Linked DNA regions of Astyanax mexicanus. The protein of the gene in region 1 interacts with the protein of each later gene in a pairwise test. Links are inferred from orthologs where the notes say so. Each region holds a gene or a part of one and is shown in the gene's direction. Other genes may lie near its edges.

Evidence for each region.
Region 2: the proteins of spdl1 (region 1) and ca8 interact in binary tests that used the Homo sapiens proteins (3 or more experiments, as listed by UniProt). The two-hybrid records come from large-scale screens. The link is inferred for Astyanax mexicanus from reciprocal best matches to the Homo sapiens genes SPDL1 and CA8.

What each region holds. Positions count from the first base shown.
Region 1 is NC_064417.1:53,770,012-53,777,640, reverse strand, and holds the start of spdl1 (protein Spindly), read left to right. Parts: upstream 1-4,603; 5' UTR 4,604-4,723; intron 4,724-6,201; coding exon 6,202-6,366; intron 6,367-6,723; coding exon 6,724-6,900; intron 6,901-7,629. UniProt on the Homo sapiens protein: Required for the localization of dynein and dynactin to the mitotic kintochore.
Region 2 is NC_064425.1:41,311,538-41,319,315, reverse strand, and holds the start of ca8 (carbonic anhydrase-related protein), read left to right. Parts: upstream 1-4,720; 5' UTR 4,721-5,193; coding exon 5,194-5,266; intron 5,267-7,778. UniProt on the Homo sapiens protein: Does not have a carbonic anhydrase catalytic activity.

The sequences.
Region 1 (7,629 bases):
ATCCCTTAAAAATAAGTATGTTGCACAAAAATGTCATGTTTTATCTATGGGTTTCTTAAGGAAAATCGTCATCAATCAACTTAATTATTTATTAAAGCTCCTTTAAATAATTCCTTAAGTGTTAGACAAAGCCCCTTAACAGTATATTCCCTTAGAATAATTAACTATTTAATTTATTATTTAACTTTCAAATATTGATTTTTTTGTCGCTTTTAAGCAATTCCCATATAAAATAGAATTTCTCAATTCTGATGCACAATACATCACTGAGATTCATGTTGCTGCTAATTTTGCTATTTATGTTTTATTATTTATTTTATATTCTATTTTTCGTTTTATTGTATTCTTAGATAATAATTGACCACATGTGATGTGAATGGCAATAAAGTCTCCTTAAATCCTTGGAAACCATTTGTTCACCTTGAGCAACATCTAGTCTGTTTTGCTCTTATTCCTTTAATAGCAAAATGCTTTGCCACAACCCAGCAAATGATTCAGTACAACTGTCCGCTGTTTCTCAATTTATCAATCACTTTTTGTCTTTAGATTAATATATTTATTTTAATTTACTGAACTCTACTAATCTCCAAAACATCCAACCATTAGTTCACTTTATACATCCTTACAGAAACATGAGTTAAACCTGCCCTCAAGAGCTGTAAAACAGACTTTTCTGGGAAATATCTCCTGAACTAATAAAATAAGGGCCACATATTACCAATCATGAGAGTACAACAGCAGGGGCTGCTCAAAGGATGCAGCCAATTGTTGAAAAAAATCAATAATTCAAACGTTATATAGAGAGAACAGATGTGTAATGTAATCTAAGAGTTTAGTGTCTGATTTCAAAAAACACCTTAAGGGATTTTTTTTCGTTAAGATTGCCCTTAAAGATCCCTTAACTGTGTTGCAGGAAAAAATATAATCTAAGAGCTTTTTTAAATAAAATCTTCATTAACACTAAAACATAAAATAATCTAAATAAAACTATTAAAAAGTTGTGTTTTAAACAAAAATCAGTCTATTACAAAACTAGCATTTGCTAGGACATTTCCAGTAACAATTTTTTGAAGAAGAAGCGATTGATTTTTAAAGAAAACATATTTATGTTTGCTATACTATATTTGCTGTAGCTTACTACAGTAGGGTAAAAAAAAAAAAACATTTAATCACTTTTAACTATAGATGATAAAATAATGATATCGGAATGTATCGGCAGACATTTGCTTTAAAATCCACTGATTTCAGCTAAATTTTCATTTATTTTTATTAGTTACAACAGATATATTGTTTTATTTAACCTGTTAATTTTGTGATCAGTCTCTGTTAGTGTGTCAGTGTCAGGTTTTTGTCAGACAGAGAGATGGAAACCCTAACAGAACTCATTTTAGCAGACTTTAAACAGACTACACTAAAATGCAACTAAATTACCCTGTAGTTGACAAAACATGGTTTTATTAACAAAAAACTAAATCAAGTAATATATAATAAAAAAAAGTATAGGATTTTCCTGTTACCAACATACAGATCCGTGTTTTAAAATCCATATTTTGAACTGATTTAACTAAAAAAACGAAGAAGCACATGACAAAGGGTAAGTGTAATAAATATGATTTACATTTTGTGATTGTTTAAAGCTAAATTTGAAAATAGAGAATGTTTTTTTCTAATGTTTTGGTTTTTAATGTTTTCTGATTTTTTCCATTTTTTCTTTTTGTAAAAAACATTTTTTTTTAAAATAACATTTAAATCCAATCTGTGAAAACCATGGTAACATCTTTCTGTGTTACAGATTTTACTGGCAGAAATGTATGTTTTTATGTCATAGCATTTTGTAGAAGAATATTTAGTTTCCCACTGTTCCCTGTTGAAACTCTAACCAGCACTTGTTCAAGTAATAAAATATATTGTCTCTAACTGAGCCCTTTATAAAAAATGTACCAGTAATCTTTATTGATATTTGATTAAAAATCTGTTAATTTATTTTGTTATTTATTTGAACAGCTTAACCCTCTATGGCATACATTAAATTAAATATAGTTTCTATTGATATATCAAATATACATTGCTATTTTGACTTTTTATAACAAACTGATGATTTGGATCAGATGTTTTAGAGCAAGAAGGCTCCAAAAAACATAATGTTGCCCAAAGACAATGATGAGTTTACAACAAAAATATAGTAAAAATATAGACAGCTAAATATACTTCTTGACATATTCTTGCACATATACATATATTTTACTTGTGACCCACTTGTGCATCTCATTGTATGGTATTGGACAGCTTTAACAACTAAAAAAACAACTAAAAGGTACTTTATGGACTTTTAGACTGATCTTTTTTCTTTCACTTAAAATAAAACATCTTAAAATAGTGAATAAAATAACAGGAACTCAATGCTGTTTTAGTTTTTTTGGAAAAAGGTGAAAATTCCACCTACAGTATATATTATGTTGTGTTCTGACCTGCAGTTCTCTTTATGCAGGTTTATTATATTTATCTTGTCTGTTTTTTTTTAACTTTGAGATGTTAAGTTGTTTATTTGTTATAAGTTACAGCATTAAATATTGTTTTATTATACTGTAGAACCTTATATTGGTGGTTTATTGATGTAGATACACTTATTTGATGAACTTTTCTTTGTTTTCCTGAATTAAACTCTAGCACAGAGTTTTTAATCACACTTATCTTCAGAACCATCGACACCGGGACCGGCCCATTCACCCCCCCTCCTCTGTATGCTCCTCTTTAGCATTACAGTAGATACAGATCTTTATATCAGTTCTGATGTAAATGCAGTGACACTGTGGACGGGCAGCACTTCACCCGCTGTTTAATCCCAGGGTGTGAGGACTGTTGTTATGCAGATCTGACCAATCAGAGAGTGTCTCACCCTCTGAGAGTTAAACACATGCTAAACTTCAGAGTGATCTACCTGTGATACCTGCATCTCTAATCACTCAGTCCTGCGTTAAACTAATCATTCAGACCGACTGAAGCACAGAACTTTAATTTAATTTTTTTTTTAATTTTCTGATTTATATTTGTATTAATAGCCCTAAATAACGATGTCACTATATTTCAGGGTATTTTTGTGTTAACGGTATTCTTGGTGATATGACAGATTTTTTTTATTAATAGTTCTAAGAATATACTACAGCATAAATAAATAAATACATATTACAACTTTATTTAGTAATTAATTTAATACATTCAGAACAAACAAAAAAAAAACGGTCTATTTTTTAAACTGTCTATTTTTAAGAAATGAACAGTAAAATAATAAAAATGAAACAAAAGTAAAAATAATGTAATAATGTAAACACAGAGAACAAACCTGCAGCACAGTTAGTGATACATATAAACTGCCACCCAAATGAAAAATGAAATACAGTAAATAATAAAACAAATACAAATTATCACCATATTGATTTTTTTATTGTTTCAATTGTTTTTCCTGTATTATGGCAAACCCCCTGCATTCAAGCCTGTCTGGTCAATACTATCTGAAACAGAAACTGATTTAGATTAATTAGTAAGTAAGTAATTCATTTTTATTTAGACCTTGTAATAAATGTATTAAAATAAAATACACCAAATAGTAAGATTGAAGATGTAGGTGTTTTGTTGTTATGTGTACAGTAAACAGGCAGTTACAGTTACTCCACATATACACAATTAATTATAGAAATATAGTAATATTCATAGTTAAGTAGTTATACAGAATGGGCAACATGGCAGTAATATAGCTTTTTAAGCTGTAAATGAAGAAAGAAGTAAAGTTTAAAACAACAAACTGACTGGATATGACATACACAATATTAATATATATTAATACCTATAAAATAGTCTAAGATTTATATCAGTAAAACTTTTATTTATAAAATATACAGCTCTGGAAAAATGGCCACTTAAAAATAATGAGTTTCCTTACTGAAAACCTCTGGAATATAATCAAGAGGAAGATGGATGATCACAAACCATCAAACCACCAAACTGAACTGCTTGAATTTCTGCACCAGGAGTAAAGCAGCATAAAGTTATCCAAAAGCAGTGTGTAAGACTGGTGGAGGAGGAGAACATGATGCCAAGATGCATGCAAACTGATTAAAAACCAGGGTTATTCCACCAAATATTGATTATTTCTGAACTTTTAAAACTTTATGAATATGAACTTGTTTTTTTTTTGCATTATTTGAACTCTGCATTTTTTTTGTTATTTCAGTCATTTCTCGTTTTCTGCATATAAATGCTCAATTTAAATAAATTACAATATTTTTATTTGGGATTTGGGAGAAATGTTGTCTGTAGTTTATAGAATAAAACAACAATGTTCATTTCACTCAAACATAAACCTATAAATAGTAAAATCAGAGAAACTGATTCAGAAACTGAAGTGATCTCAATTTTTTTTTCAGAGCTGTGTATAATATTATGCCCTAAACTGCAGTTCTGTATATGCAGATATATCTGCCTGTACATACATGTATATTTAATATGTATATCAATATTATTTTCTTTTTCTATTGTATGTAAACTAAAGAGAACTACACAATTAAAGTAAATAATAAATAAAACAGTTTTATGTTGTAATGAGAGAGGTATTAGTATTATAGAGGCTGGGAGTAGGGGGCGCTGAAGCTGCGCGCTGAGGAGAGCTAAACCCGCAGAAGAAGAGTTTAAACGGTTTGGCTCCGGGCGGGGAGCTGCGGAATTAAAGGTAAATAAATTTATAAAAACAGAATGTATTTCTATATTTACCTCCTAATTCACTTAATAACAGTTACCTCAGGTAAATATATGCTATAGAACCGGTCGGGTTATTCGGTAACGGTACAAAAACCAGCTAAACTAGACTAAACTAGTTATTTAGCCCGGCTAAAGCTAACCAGCTAACTAACCCGGTCTCTCAGAACTAGTAAATTAGCTAACAGAACCTAAGAACAACTATTAGCTTTAGCCTGGATACTGGTGTTTATTAACAGAGTTTAGCTACACAGTTCTCTAGGTTTAGCCCTTAAATCATTAAATTAAAAAGTGTAAAGAATTGAAAATGTGAACAGTATATTTAATCTACGTTCTAATTTTCTTTTACATTGATTTTTATGCTTATTATTGTTGTGTATTATTGTGCTTTATTGTGTAAGTTAAGTTCTACTGCCTGCTAAATTTCCTTTAGGATCAATAAAAAAGATGGTCTGTCTGTCTCTTTGTTTTTGCCTGACTGTCTTTCTGTATGTCTGTCAATTTATGTACGGTATCTAGTTTTCTGCCTATTTATCGGTTAGGGCTGGGTGATATTGTATGAAAAATAACTCTATATGATTTATTTTTTATAACTTTTATAACAACCAGTTGTTTTATTTGTGAACAGTGAACACCATTTACATGTTTACATTTTATGTTTTTAATGAATAGTAATCAGCACCTTTAACATTTTGCAGCTTTTATATTAAACACAATGTAAACATAACCTCCTTATATTTTACTTACATAATAGGTAAAGTCTAAATTAAGTAAATCAGTGTTTTCTGACTGAAAATAATCCTCTGTCCACTTAGATTCTCAATGCAGCTTCCATATGATGCAGCTTCCATATGTAAAGATGTACATATTGGTCATCTCCATTATATCATTTTGAAAATTGAAATAAAACAGTAATTTTAATCTTCGTTTAAATGCCAATTTTGGACAAAACTTATGAATTCTTAGTGTAGTGTAAACACTATAAACAATGGTCAATTGAGTGTTCCTTGTACAATTAAAAAATTTATCCTCTAAAATAATTTCTTTTTTTTCATATCTAACAAAAACTGTAACTGAAATATCCATGAATATCAAATTAATTCAGGAATTGATGTATGATATATGAACAGTACAATTTAGCATAATAACTGAATTGAAAAATGTGCTTAAACAATTGTAATAATATTTATAGGTATAATACTGTACAGCGGTTAATGATATAGCGGTCTATTGATCAATGCTGTCAGAATTGATTCATCTCTCAACCAACATTTAAACAACTAGTTCCAGTCTAAATATGTATACTGTACGGCTCAGCAATAACTGTGAAATTAGAATTAATGGTTGCTGCCTGTGTGTGTAGCGAAATGTTTTTTAGGAGGAAATAATGTTAAATAAAATGAATGAAAGTTAAAATAACGTGTATTAATTGCTGTTATTTTCTGTGTAAAGATGTCGTTTGCAGAGAGTGAGATTCTGGCGTTGAGGCAGAAGGTGGACGAGTCGGAGCAGGCTCTTCAGAAAGCAGCGCAGTATGGACTTCAGCTCCTGGATGATAAAATGGATCTCCAGAATAAACTGGAGGAGCAGCGAGTAGAAATGACGGCTGTAATAGAGGTCAGTTTTACACTTGATCAACTATATAAATTGTCGATGTGGGTAATGGGCTCACACACTCTGCTCGTTCTCTGTGTATTTAACAATGTAAACAAACCAGATAAGGGACAAGACAACAGCCATACTCACTGTGCATCATCTCATTATACATTTAAACACGATCTCAGCATTTAAATCACACATTTAGTGGCTTTTGCTGATTCTCTAGTAGAATTTAAATTCAGTACTATTCTTAGATCAGTCAAAGTTAAAGGCTGCATGCAAATAAAGATAAATTAGTGTTAATTACAAAATATACTGATTAGAAATTAGAGAATATTTTACAGCTGTGCTTGATTATATGTGTTTGTTTTACAGGGTCTGGAGCAAGAGAAATACTCCCTGCAGAGAGAAGTAGAGCTGAAGGTCCGAATGCTGGACAGCCTTCATTCAGAATTCGATTATTTTAAAAACCAGCAGAAGCAAACAATAGAGCTGCAGCAAGCAGAGCTGGAGAGGAACCATGTGGTGGAACTCACAGACGTCAAGAACAAGGTCAGCCCTAAATACAGTAAACAGGGTTTTACATATATATATATATATATATATATATATATATATATATATATATATATATATATATATATATATATAGTCCCAGAAATTATTGCAATAAACAATATTATTATTATTTTAAGATAATTAAATGCCACTGGCTAAATACAAATAGGACAGCATAACAAAGCATGTATGCACTTTAAACGGCAACAACATTAATCATAGTTTGTGAAATATATAATTTATTCTTCATCTACTGTAGTCACTGCACACTGTGTGTATGAAGTGTATGAAGTCACAGTTACTGAAGCACTGATTGGTCATTTACCATATTTTTCATGGGTTTACCGTGTTAAAACAAGCTATGTGGTACGAACTGCTTGCTAATATCGCCCTGACTTCCTCAGTGTAGCGCTGTTAGGCTAGCAGTTAGCCGCTAATGCTAATGCTCCAGCCTTAGTGCTGGAGAAATTTGGGAATCTAAGCTTACTGTAAATAAACAGTAGCACTTTACTCACCCAAATAAGGAGAGATTTTTAGGAGAGAAATATGTGTAGATTAACATCCATAATATAAAAATATGGTAGCAAAACTGGCTAAAATATTTTTCACTGTTATATATGTGAACAGACATATAAATAAACACAATAGACCTGGGGGGTATTCCAGAAAGCAGGTTAAGTGACAAAACCGGGTAAGTAAACTCAGAGTTAACGGAAACTCAGA
Region 2 (7,778 bases), on another chromosome or scaffold:
CAGAATCTGATTGGAAGCTATAGAAAGAGTAAATACTAAATATTGATGTAAATTTTCTGTTGGGATGCTCAAATTTATGCACCTGCCTAATTTAGTTTAATTAATTAATTATTGCACACTTTCTGTAAATCCTATAAACTTCATTTCACTTCTCAAATATCACTGTGTTCATCTGCTGTATGATATATTTAACTGAAATAGCTGATCCAAACAACCAATGATTTATAAAGAAAAATCATAAAAATGATCAGGGGTGCCCAGACTTTTTCATACCACTGTATATGTCCATTGAATATTAATGTATTTTAGTACAATGCAAATATATTACAGAAGCTAAGGTGGGTGATTTCGATTTTGCTGGAGTTTTTCACAATATCACCAACTTCTGTCAGACAAATAGGACAGAAAACATTCTAAAGGGGTGCCTTGAATACCAACACCTCTCTAACTGAGAGATAAGGATGATGTGGTTCATTGTTTCAAAAGCAGTGTGTGTGTGTGATTTAACCCATACTTCAGCATTGAAATTTTATTTCACAAGATTTTATATCACAGTATACTTGGTCGATACAGTACAGTTAGGCGCATACATATTTGTACAGTGAGACAATGACAATTTGTGATTTTGGCCTGCATTCCATCACACTGGATTTAAAATAAAACAAATGATATGCAAGATGCAAGTCAAATATTGAAAATGTGTTGAAAATGAATATCACATTTTTTAAATATTGTGTCACAATTATTATTGCTATAGAAATGAGCCCTGTTTAATCCTAAATAAAAAGTAATCTACCTACTGACCTCGGAACAGTACTGACGCTGTGTTTACATGGCTGAATGAAACCGATTATACATTACCAGGCTTTGTTAATGTGTTTTATGTATTGTTGTCATGTGATTAATGTATTAATAATGAATGTGTTTAATTTTACAGATTAATTGTGTGTTAACTTGTTAACCTTGACAGCACTAGTTCATAGATAGATAGATAGATAGATACTTTATTGATCCCCAAGGGGAAATTCTAGGCATCCAGCAGCAGGTATGTATAGTACACAAAGTTACAAAAAGATAAAATATAACGATACATATAAATACAATGAAATAAAAAAATTAAATGAAAAGTATAAAAGTACAGTCTTGTGTGTGTGTGTGTGTGTGTAATGGAGGTAGTGCAGTTGAACACAATATACAGTGAACACCAGCTGATGTGCATAAAGTGAGGATAACTGATGTCAGCCATACAGAAAGTGCAAATACACAGTTATATAATAATTAAAATTTAGCAGTGCGACAGATACGTAAACAGTAGATGAATGAACTTGTGAATGAACTACTAGTGCAAAATAGTGTTATAGGTATCAGCAAGACTGAGAGTGTGTCCATAGATGGGGGTGTGTAGACACTCATCATAATGAATGTGAAGTGTTCTGAGAGTAAATGTGTGTTATTAATAGTGATCAGGTTTTTAATGCATGTTTTTATTAATATGTATAAAATCACTCCTTTAAAAGCTGTGCTGTGTTTTATATTGTCCACTAGAGGCCAGCGCTGCACCTTCAGACAGATCCTATTCCTTTCACTTCTTTCACCTTTAAATATATACAAAAGTGTAATTACATGTACTTATGTTATATACACACTTATTATATGTTGTACCAGTGAGACCAAGTTGCTTCACCAGCATGGGCATATATATGAATCATTTCTACATTTTTGCAAATTTGTTATTCTTACTTTTTATTTTTAATTTAGACAGTTATGTTTATTTTATATTATATTTATTTAAATATATTTATACACTTATATGTCTTCATATACACTTATAATGCTTTATATATGAAGGCTTTAAAGAGAACTGATTTGATGATTTGATTATTGATATGGGATTATTAATTGGAAGTACTCTCTCTGTTTCTCTCTCTCTCTCTCTCTCTCTCTCTCTCTATATATATATATATATATATATGTGTGTATTATATTTATATTTGTCATATATATATATACCACAAATTTACATTGTAAATTTAATATTGACGTCTATATTAAAGCTCTACAGGAACACATGCAGCATTTTTCTGTAAAAAGTGTTAAACAAATCAGAATATGTTCTTACAAGTAGCACATTTATATTTAAGGACAGATCTGCACACTCTTGGTGTGATTTTAATCTCAGTGTATTCATGAGGGAGAGTCACCTGAAATATTTTTCTCAGCGTCTTGAAAGAAGGAGTTTCTGGAGGTGCTGAACAATAGCTGCTGCTTTTTCTTCACGCTGTGAAGCTCCAGCTCATCCCACTTAAATCACCTCAAATTATCATCTCAGTTCATCAGCTTTAGATCAGGGGATTCATGTGGAGGATAAACGCTTATTTTACTGTTTACCACATAAATCCATATGTGTCCCTTAAATGTTTCCATGTCTTTTTAATTAATCTACAATTTAGAAAATGAGTAAAGGAAAACATTAAATGTAAACTGGTTCTCAACTTTTATATAGCACTATAGATACAGGTATACACATGCGCAAAAGCCATATATTATTTCTGATATTTGAAAGGAGTGCACATTAAGATGTTAGATATGTGGTTGTGATTAGTATGAGTTATCTGAGTGTGATCTCGTGCTGTAGTAAAACTATAACCTTTAGGGAGGAAAACGACCCAATTAACAGCTCATTAGAGAAAGAGGGAAATTACACAATTATGAGTTTTTAATTTTAGTAAATGTGGGTCAGAGGGATTACAGAACACATTGAGCTCAACTGCCCTTTACAATTTCACCTGGGACAATGGGACAACACACACACACACACACACACACACACACACACAAATTCTATTATAATAGCAACTTTCCATCATAGGATCCTGTTATTAACTAAAAGGTCTCTCTGAGATAAAATACATTTTGTCAGTAAATTAAATGCCAATATTAGCAGTATTATCTTGTTAGTGTGTGTGTGCTCATGTGGCAGATCACTGTAACACATGTACAATCAATATTTTAATGCATTTTTACTGAGCTACAAACGCAGTTTAATTAAACAGTAAATTACCTTAACAGTCATTACAGTATTTGACTTTAGATTGTGAAGTTTTTCTTCAATACAAATAATCATGTGAGAATTAGAAATAGAGAAATAGAGGTCCTCTCCCTCTATTCAGTCTCTTTTTATACTGTATAAGGCCTTTCTCTTCATCTCTCTCTCTCTCCCTGTCTCTCTCTCTCTCTCTCTCTCTCTCTCTCTCTCTCTCTCTCTCTCTCAAAAAACAATGTATCTTCTTTTTCTCTTTAAAAAAGTGTGTATCTCTTTCCTCTCTCTCTCTTAGAAGTGTGTATCTCTTTTCTCTAACTCTAAAACTATGTATCTCTCTTCTCTCTCTCCATGCACTGGCAAATAAAAACTTTAAACACTGAAAGTACAAATGTTTATTGTAAAGAATAATTTCAGTATGTTAATGTATTTTATGCCAAAACTTACAATAGAAAAATTGTAATCCTCTGTAATTCACTGACAGTAAATTACTATTGTAGATATCATCGCTGTCCTATGAAAAACACTTATCTCCATTTTTGTTGATTTTTAGTTTACTACATAATTTGACCAGACAAACTGTCCCTTACACTGTGCCAAAATTTCTTGATGAACAGACCAATAGAAACTCTTGAAAAAAAAAACAGAAATAACTCTTTTTAAATTGACTTTCACTGAAAGTTTTCAAGTTTTTTTTCTCTCTCCTGTTAAGTTGCTGTTTTGTAGATAAGTGTTTTTCACTGGACACTCGATGATATACAGTAATATAATTATTTATTGGCAATGTTTTTGCTGTTGACTTACTGTAACATTTACAATAAACATTTTACAGTGTAGTAGTAGTTAATATAGAATTATACAAGGAAATTGTTAACTTTGCTCTGACTTTAAACACTAACACCATTGTGTGTGTAAGTGTGTGTGTGAGTCCAGCATGTGTGGTCAGACTGTTAACAAGGCCAAACTATGAGTCTTTTCTAAGAGATCAGAGACTTATGGGTTTCAGCCAATCAGAATGTGAGCTTCTTTGTGTGTCTTTGACTGTGTGTGTTTTTGTTTGTTTGTGAGTATTTGTGTGTGTGTGTGTGTGTAAAAACTTGCAGAGAAAGAGAGAGAGAGATTTATAGTTTTTAGACAGAAAGAGAGAAGAGATACATTTAGAGAGAGAAAGAAAATATACATAATTTTTAGAGAGAGATAGAGGAGAGATACATGCTTTTGAAAGAGAGATACATAGTTTTGAGAGAAAGAGAGAAGAGAGAGATACACACTTTTTTCAGAGAGAAAGAGAGAAAAGATCAAAAACACTTTAAAGAGAGAGAGAAGAGAGAGATAAACACTTTAGAAAGAGAGAGAGAAGAGAGATACACACTTGTTAGAGACAGAAAGAGAAGAGAGATACACACTTTTTTAGGAAGAGAGAGAGACAGACACTTTGGAGAGAGAGAAAAGAGATAAATACTTTAGAAAGAGAGAGAGATACACACATTTTTAGCGACAGAAAGAGAAGAGAGATACACATTGTTTTATATATATATATAGAGAGAGAGAGACACTTTGGAGAGAGAGAAAAGAGATAAATACTTTAGAAAGAGAGAGAGATACACACATTTTTAGAGACAGAAAGAGAAGAGAGATACACAATTTTTTATATATATATATATAGAGAGAGAGAGAGACACTTTTTGGAGAGAGAGAAAAGAGATACACACTTTAGAAAGAGAGAAGAGAAACATGTTTTAGACAGAGAGAGAAATACAGTATAGGGAGAGAGAATAGAGAGTGTTTGAGCGTCAATGAAAGAGAGAGAGAGAAAGTACAAAGACAGAGAGTGCAAAGGAAGAGAGACAGAAGGAGGTGGGGAGAAAGGAAGAGAGAGAGAGAGAGGCAGGAGGAGTCAGGAGAGGGTGTGTGTGTGTAAAAGAGAGAGAGAGACATCAGTAGAGAGCAGTGGTGTGTGTGAGTGTGTCCTGATCAGACAGTGGGAGTGTGTATAGGTGTGTGTGTGGTGTATTGTGAGGAGACTGTAGCAGTGTGTATGTGAGTGTTTTGTATGGGTGCAGTGTGAGCAGCAGTGGTGCAGCAGATCCCGGGTCAGTTCTGAGAGGGAGGAGAGGGAGAGTTGTGAAAGTTCTGGCTCTGGATCCATCAGCATGGCAGACAGTGTGATCGAGGAGTCCGATTACATCCCGGGAAAAGACGAGCTGGACTGGGGCTATGAGGAAGGTAAGGAATTCATTCAGTGATTCAGCTACACACACACACACACACACACACACACACACACACACATACTGGCTTTTCTCTGGGAGAAACATGAGCTGCACTGTCCCACCCATTAACACACTTCCAGTTTCAGAACAGACTCATTGAACTTTACTGTAAATAATAATCAAATTATCAGTATTTATTATCCACTATAAATCGTTCAATAACTATTACGCTCTATTTAGCATCTGTATCATTATCAGAATTCAGTGCTACCTGGGTTTTAAACATTTTTAAGATTACATAAGGTCATTGATCATATTTATAAGACTTTAGACTAAAGTAATCATATTTTACAGCTTAATCACTTTATATTTTCACTTTTTACTTCCTGTGATGCACAGTAGGTGAAGAGTGACAGGGTGGACAATGACAGGGCAGACAGTAAGGGTGGACATTGATAGTGACAGGGTAGACAATGATGGGGTGGACAGTGACAGGGTGAACAGTGACAGAATATAGACAGTGACAGGGTGTACAATGAGAGGATGAAGAGTGACAGGGTAGACAATGAGAGGACAATGAGAGGGTGGACAGTGAGAAGATGGAGAATGACAGGGTGGACAGTGACAGAGCAGACAATGAGGCTGGACATTGAGAGGATGGAAAGTGACAGGGTGAACAGTGACAGAATGGACAGTCACAGGGTGGACAGTGAGAGAATGAACAGTGACAGAATAGACAGTGACAGGGTGGACAATGAGAGGATGAAGAGTGACAGGGTAGACAATGAGAGGACAACCTGAGGGTGGACAGTGAGAAGTTGGAGAGTGACAGGGTGGACAGTGACAGGGCAGACAATGAGGCTGGACATTGAGAGGATGGAAAGTGACAGGGTGAACAGTGACAGAATAGACAGTGACAGGGTGGACAATGAGAGGATGAGTGACAGGGTAGACAATGAGAGGACAACAAGAGGGTGGACAGTGAGAAGATGGAGAGTGACAGGGTGGACAGTGACAGGGCAGACAATGAGGCTGGACATTGAGAGGATGGAAAGTGACAGGGTGAACAATGAGAGGATGAGTGACAGGGTAGACAATGAGAGCACAACAAGAGGGTGGACAGTGAGAAGATGGAGAGTGACAGGGTGGACAGTGACAGGGTAGACAGTGAGAGGTTGGAAAGTGACAGGGTGGACAGTGACAGTGGACAATGACAGGGCAGACAATAAGGGTGGAAATTGAGAGAATGGATAGTGACAGGGTGGACAATGACAGGGCAGACAATAAGGGTGGACATTGAGAGAATGGATAGTGACAGGGTAGACAATGATGGGGTGGACAGTGACAAGGTGAACTGTGACAGGGTAGACAATGAGAGGACAACGAGAGGATGGACAGTGAGAAGATGGAGAATGACAGGGTGGACAATGAGAGGACCAAGAGTGACAGGGTAGACAATGAGAAATTGGACAAAGAGAGGGTGTACAGTGACAGAATGGACACTGACAGGGTGGACAATGAGAAGGTATACAAACAAAAATCGGAATGCCAAATTGAAATTTGCAAAAAAAAAAAAAAGGAACTGCTTATAATCCAAAGCACACAAGCTCATCTGTGAAGCATGGTGCAGGTAATGTCATGGCTTTGGTGATGAATGCAGCTTCTGGAACAGCAGCACAAATGAAAAATGCAATAGCTTGGTGATGTTTTTGGGTCGCAGGCCTGAGGCAGTCACTGCATGCAAGGGCTTTGCCACCTAGTACTAAATGTTATTTACTTACTACTTAAAGCGGTATTATTTAGTTTCTAAACTGAAAGCAGATGCATTTCTGTGTGGAGAAGAATATGGATAAAATATTGCATTTAATGGTACCAGTGTGCTGAAACAACCATCCCTGCTAAGTCTAATATATTCATTCTAAAAACTGGGGTTTTTAGTTGGGTCGCTTTTCGTGTGAGTTCTTCTTCTTCTTCTGGCCACGTCACATGTTTTTACGTACTTAAATCACACGTACAGCCTCTAAAAGAGGATCTGGCTCAGTTTTTTTACTGATCGCGAGCAACTGGTGGAGCAATGGAGACTTCAGAAGGGGAAACTTGGATTGATCTGCTCTGAAAGGAGCATCACACCCACCCAGTTTAAAATGATTCTTACGCATGTTCGGTGCTATTACCCATTCTCACCAGAGAGGGCCCTAAATCTGCATGTGAGTACCAGGAAATAAAAGCTGACATTCCGAACTTTTGTCTCATGTTCAACTGATCTTTTGATCTTTTGATACAATACTTTTTGTGAGAGAACTGTATATGGTTCTAATGAGCTCAATAACAAAACTGATGACCTGTAAGTTATTATAACCTTAAACCAACAGCAAATAGTCCATACACACTGTTGTTATAGCGCTTTAGTACAATGGACACTTTATTTTTACAGTGCACTGTGTGTGTGTGTGTGTGTGTGTGTGTGTGTTTACTGAGCAGAGCACTAAAAAGAGTGTAATGCTATTTCAAATCTGTGGTCTTTA